Saccharomyces cerevisiae S288C: one gene and its partner. The protein of the gene in region 1 interacts with the protein of each later gene in a biochemical or structural test. Each region holds a gene or a part of one and is shown on either strand. Other genes may lie near its edges.

Region 1 (3,367 bases):
AGCCTTTCAATAAATTGCTCTTCTCTTGGCGAAAGAAAGCGGGGGGCAAAAAGAATCACGGGACTTATGTTTCGGGATCTCTTTGTTTCTTCTTTTTTTCCCGGAGAATAATTTTTTAGGACCAATTACCGTAGTTGCGACTACAACAATTGTTGTTCATACCCCCACGATTTACTTTTTGAAAACTAGTTTTTGGAATAATAATGTTGTAAAATTTCCCTTTTTCCACCCCGATTTGTATTTTATTTTTCGTTACAAAATTGGGACTAATATTAAGGGCGACAGTTTTTCTTAAAAGTAAGATTTTTTACTTAAAAATTCTTGTTCTTAACGAAATTACATACGTATTAAAATTATTTATTAGATAGTCGGTATTGTCTTTTTGTGAAAAAAAAAAATTATAATACTAATTGTTAAAAAGGCAGGTATGAGGAGGGTATAGTAGGAAAGAGAAAAGACGTTACAATTTTTAGGTTTTCGGTTTTAATAGAAATTGTTTGATTACACATAATAGGAATTGGGGGGCTGGCGGGAGGGAGGCGCATGTGCTCTATTACTTTCTTGTTTCCACAACGGATGGAACAACCACAACGACAACAACAATAGCAAAGATAATAAAGCAGATGATCAAACATCTTATTTTGTTTTTTCTTGCTTTTCTGGCACTCTTAACGGCCTTGTTGGTGTGACCCACACCTTGCTCTACATCTTGCTGAGCGTCTTCGACGTTTTTGTCAATGACATCCACATTTTCTTGTTGTTCGATGACCAACTCTTCCATGTCATTGAACAATTGGGTAAGTTCAGCCATTGTTTTTTCCAACTTCAACAACTCTTGATGTCTAGCCTGTACTTCGGCCAATGCTGTCTTGGCCTCACCACGTCTATTGGCGTTTAGCAACGCTTGGGAAAAGATCTGCTGGCCATTGACATCGTTGATGGCGGCTTCCACTTCTTCGTCAGTGGCTTCCGGTTGGATAATTGTGTACTGTCTCTTCGCCTGCTCTTTGCTTTCTTCTTTGTAGTTAGAATCGATAATTCTGTAGTCTTGAATTAATTTTAAGAATTTCTGTCTGCAATTTTCAGCTTGTGCCTGTTTATTAGAGTCGTGCAATCCGTCTCTCTGGGCATCTTTGATATCCGCTTTCAATTGATACTGCAAATCTGTGGCCTGAGAGATGTAATCGTCCAAAGAACGTCTCAATTCCATCTCCTGTTCCTCACTCACTTGAGTAAGTAGGTCTTTGTGTTGCGCATCAATTTGGTTGATAATGTTTTCGTACCTGGACAAGTTAGCATTTATTGAGTTGATCTTGTTCATAAAAGCTACGAAATCGTCGCTACCATCTGAGTGACCAGTAGGAGCATTGTTCAAGTCCTCTTGCATTTCATAGTTTTCAGCGTACGGATTGTTATTCTCATAAGGATTAGCGTTGCTCATTGCTGCAATATTTGTGCGTGTATGGGCAGTTTTCAAATGTAAAGTATTACAATTCCACACTATTCCAGCTCTCTTATGGGTATATTAAACGATTTAACCTGCCAACAGCATTTATTTGTCATTTTACTTGCTTTTTTCATCCATCCATTGAAACTAAAAACGTCAAAAAAGGCCATTTCGTAAACAACGGCCGGGTGATAAGCACGTCGTTTAGGGGGGACCCTTTGCTGCCGCTTGGTACCCGGCTCGTAAGACATAAAGATGCCACATATTTACTTTTAGCTGGCTTCTTTATTCACACAGGCTACTCATAAGAGCTTCAGTAGACGCGCATCTGTCGGTTCTTCGTCAATCTATTTCCGCACATACTATTACGTACGATGGCTATTAAACCAACCAAAAGTTTTCAGAATTGTCTAGAAGCTGAAGTGCCTGGTTATAACGACTGTCCGACAGTTTTGTTTTCTATCGACCCTAATAGCGGACCTAGATCCAAATCTAAACAAAGAACGAAATCGAAAAGATGTGTTAGCGGCAGACTTGCCACAGAAGTGTTAGATCTTTATGGGAACACTAAAACAGCTACTACGCCGCCACCAGTTTTGAGGAGGCCATCTGTAACTGCTGCTCAACAAGAATCTGCCTGTGAAGGTGTGCTCGTAAAAGACCAAGGCGATAGACAGCTCCAGCCGATATTATGCAGTAAAGAAGAATTAGTGGCTAAGATCAACGACCTCTGTGTGTGTGGCTCGAAGCTCTCTTCGAAGGAGTTGGAATTTTACAAGAAAAAATTAGATTCAAACATTACCAAGATTTTACAAAACGAGCACACCAAAACAGTACTATCCCAGATTTTCAATGAAAAAGACAAAAATATGGCCGTGAAAACCATTAAACATTGGATGGTTACTGACACAACAATCTCAAATTGGTGTCCCGCATTCTTAAAAATTTTTGAAAATGCGATGCCTAATTAATCAATAATATTATTATATTTATAAATAGAAGTACACTACGCAGAACATTTTATTTTCTAAAAAAAAAAAGAATTCCTATTGAATAATTAAAAATCAAGGTTACCCGCAGTCTGCTTGAGAAATTTAATAAAAAACATGTAATCATCTCATCGCGTCGAACAGCATATAGCAATAAGGGCTCATCACCGCCTCATGTTTCTTCTTGTCATATCAGATCAAGAAAAACAAAAGGTTGGAAAATGAATGAGGATAAAGAGCAAAAGATCAACATACACGATATATTGAATACAAGACCGAAGCTCACCAAAAAGACAGCCCTAGATGTTTTCTTCGAAGATCTGGATGACAATGTAATTACTCCCATAAACGAATATGTTCTTGATTCAGGCTCATCATCATCCTCTTCCATTTATCAGGCGTTGAAGTGCTCAAATAACAATGAGTTTGTTGCAGTACTTTTACAGAAATTCCAGAATTTGCACATTCACGTACTAGAACAGCAACGGAGGCTCATCGAAAGTAAAAGTGACTTATTGCCTATCTCATTGCATGATATGAAATACGTAGACGAACTGATAAATCTTTTGATTATTCATGGTATAGATGCTAATTTGTCTCCTACGATGAAAATTCCATTCGATTCGAAAAGAATAAATACTTTCAAGAAGGGCCAAAAAAGCGCAGAATATGAAACGCCTCGATGGCACACCATAAATAACGATACTTTATCTCAAGTCATAACTGTCTTTTATAATGTTCTAACTAGTGAGAGGTCTTCTGACTACCTGAGAGAAATAATATCAAAAGGCAGTGCTTACGCAAACATTTTATTAGGTTTGATTGTGTTACATTTGCAGTTGCCTAATAGGTACTCTTCACAAATGATTACAAATCTAGAAGATACTCAAGAAACTTATACTTTGTTTGGGGTTTACACTCTACTAGTAGA
Region 2 (3,382 bases), 320 kb from region 1:
AATAGTGTGGCATACGCAGTGATTACCGGAAACCCTTCATAATGTTTTCCTTTTTCCCAACAAGATTGAACTTTGATATCGTTTTGTAACTAAAATCTTTTTTGACAAATGAAATTATATGAATTATAACTTATCAACTTTATGAGAAGCAAGTAGACTTGGTACTGTAAAAAATATAGTCCCACGACAGCGGTATCTATCTTTCTTACCCTCTTTTACTTTTCACAAAATCATGTTGATTTTTCAGTTAACCCAGTTTAAGATCATGAATGGAACGGGAAACAAATACGTAACAACTGGGAAAAACAAACCTGCCGATGTTTGAATGCACTTTATTTATGGGAAAGAGAAAGCTTTGTCTGACAACTCCGAAAGAAAATACAAAGAAGAATTGAGACCTTCAGTACTAATGTCCCCCTCGCTCTTTTTTTTTTCTCTTTCGCAAGAATATCTGCGTATGCCTTTTTAGAAACTATTTATTCAATATATTTATACACGATATTTTGTGTGTATAACAGATCACCATCTTTTCCCGATCACTTTCTCCAATCTATATCGCTTGGCCTGTAAAGCATTATCTGCCTGCTGTACATTGTTCTCGATGTCAAACATTCTAGTGTTTTGTGCTTCAAACTCTCTGCCAAAAGCGTGAGCCATAATTTTCAAGTCACCACTCACCGCTTTTATTTGTTCTAGGTTTCCGTACAAGTCGATTTCCATTTGGTTATCTTCTTCATCGGCTTCAAACTGATACTTCTGGGCATCTCTAAGAATACGCTGTCTTTCCACCCCTTGGCCATACCGTCCATATTCAGAACTTAGATTTATGGCTAAATTTTTGTCAGAATCTTGGGCTCTTTTCATAGTTTCTTGCTGTAAGTGACGATGCTTTAACTTCAAATTGTAGATCTGGTCTCGCTTTTCTCTCTCCCTTTTCTTCCTGAAGGGGTTGGGTGATTTTAATGCAAGCAGGCTTCTATTTTCATGGGCAAGTTCGTCAATCTTTCGGTCGGCTACGTTAGATTGAATTTTAAGCATGTCACAATTGCTCTCGATCTTGGTGAGTTGGTTGCTCTGACAACTTAGTTGTTGAAGAACTCTCTTTCCAGTACATCGAGCCTCTATAGCTTTTTCAAGTGTTCTGCTTGTCGTTTTTACAGATTTTAATTTAGTGCTTCTAATCTCGGACCTGAGTCTATCAACTATTTCATCCTCCTCAGGCTGGACATTCTCTAAGTTATATTGACTTTCAACTTTTCTCCACTGTGGATAGTCATTCTCATTTGCAAAATTTCCCAAATCTCTGTGAATAACGCTATCTGTTTCTCCCAAGTTTTCTTCAGGTATTTGGCACCTGTTGGACTTTGGAAAAACCTCTTCTAACGAAATAGTAGCAAGGCCATCCCTTTCGGGCACCTCATAAGAGACGCATTTATCATCACTAGTCTTAGTGGCGTCATCGAACCGACAGTTTGGGTGAAGTTGTTTGTGGATTTTATTCCTCAAGGATTTAAGCTTCACATGTAGCCTATCACGTCTTCTGCTTCCTGAACAATTGTCCATCCTGAAGGGTGATAAATATTTTGTTTCATGGGATCCTGTAATATTGGAAATAAGTACATAGCGATGATTTTGCAACTTCAGGTTCTTATGGTGCTGATTATGGTGGCGACTGTGATGCGATTTGCTAGCAAGTATTTTTCTGAACCCCATTATATATCTAAAAATGGCTATTCACAAACGGAAAAATCTAAAGTAATAAAAAAATAATAGTGTTAACAGAGAAGGTTTATCAGTAGCTAAAGCGAGCAAATTACTGGTTAACTTATCGTATTTTCCGTACTGTGGTGAATCTTATGCAAAATGAACCTGGCTTTGGCGGGAGTTTTTTTTTATGTGACACAATGGCCTTTTGCCGGTGGTAAATACGCGCTTCAAAAAGGTTGTTACACAGCGGCACATTAGCATGACACAATCTTGATCCTTTACAATTACTACACCGCCAAGTATAAAGCTTTTCCCAACCAACGTGTTTGCCAAGTAATTTTGTGTAGAGTGCGGCTGACTAACAGCCTTAACCGGGTACTCTGTTCCCTGCATTTGCATAAAAACTACAAAGAAAAGAAAGAAGGAAATACTCCGAACCAAAGAGATACAACAAGAATACTTCTCTCATTACATCGGCACCTTCCTGGGGATTAATTCCTTACAAGCGCTGAAAAAATGAAGAGATGATTCCGTACTTCAACAATGGCTTTTAACCTTATTACCCCAAGAGAGTGTCTACAGAATTAAGGCCCATTTAATTTTTACCTTCCTGTTCCTGCATAACAGACACCCCTTACCCGCATCAACAGGAGGGGAGGAAACATTGCCAATATGTCTGCGAATTGTGACAACCAATCCGCATGCACGGTGGGGGGCGGTTGAAAGCGCCTAGACTTCCCTTTTTTGGATTGCTACGTCACCTTCGCAGCGTGCACCAGGTGCATTCACCACACGAAAAGATGCGAAAGCACACCAAGCGCGAAATTCCGGTTTTTGGCTTGTTTGTTTCGGGCTCCGCCTCATCGTCTTAGCAAATCTAGACCTTGTTGAAAAATCGTGCAGGGACTCCGTACCTGCACAAGCAACGCGGCATAATACATGTAGGGATACAGCAAAGATATTGTTTCTGAATGGGCAAAACATTGCTTTCCGCAAACGGCTTTTTCTTCTCTTTCCCACCACCGTGGGTCACCTTTTTCTTGCGCCTCTTATGCCAACACACTCTTCCCGTGATGCGAATGGTAAAGAAGTTAACAAAAAACACAAAAAATTCATATTCCGATTTCTCTGCAAAGAAGCCTGAGCGGGAACTGCATGTCCGCTTGACTTGTCTTCCCTCCGGTTAGCTGTGCCTGCAGGGAAACCGCAGTAGAAGGACTGCGGAAGGATCTTTTCCCGCCGTTGATGTAATCTTTAAAGTTAATTTTTCCCTCACACAGTTTGCATTTTTCCCGCATGTTGTCCGGTTTTTCTTTCTTTTGTTGCTTTTTCTTCCGTGGGCCTGACGGAACATTCCAAGTTGAGTGCGATCTGACTAAGGAACTAGTAGAGGCTACCGCTCAGTAAGTTTAACAGTCGGCTAAGCATCGATCATCTCATTCTTTGCCTTCACTCAGTTCTTCGCAATAGTACAGTGCTGCGCAATAGACGCACGTATCAGTGATGTATTCTTTCTCTTGTCTTCACATAAAAAGTACGTAGATGTGTTGCCCGTTTGTGTTTTATTAACTTATCGAATGTGGCAAGCCGACGATACAAAAGAAAAAAGTTCATCTTTAACACTTCTTTTTGTTAGTTTTTGAAGTTTTTCCCCACTATCTTTTGCATTAGTTGT

Evidence for each region. The genes of interacting proteins can lie anywhere in the genome.
Region 2: the proteins of SSO2 (region 1) and SPO20 form a complex in vitro, tested with the Saccharomyces cerevisiae proteins (one study listed by BioGRID).

Annotation. Positions count from the first base shown.
Region 1 is NC_001145.3:626,368-629,734, forward strand, and holds SSO2 (syntaxin), read right to left. Parts: upstream 1,442-3,367; coding exon 554-1,441; downstream 1-553. Other genes in the region: ADD37 (Add37p), read left to right, coding at 1,822-2,418; RTP1 (Rtp1p), read left to right, coding at 2,658-3,367. UniProt on the Saccharomyces cerevisiae protein: Required for vesicle fusion with the plasma membrane.
Region 2 is NC_001145.3:305,820-309,201, reverse strand, and holds SPO20 (Spo20p), read right to left. Parts: upstream 1,714-3,382; coding exon 520-1,713; downstream 1-519. UniProt on the Saccharomyces cerevisiae protein: Required to maintain the prospore membrane to the nucleus during sporulation in order to capture the daughter nuclei and form the spores.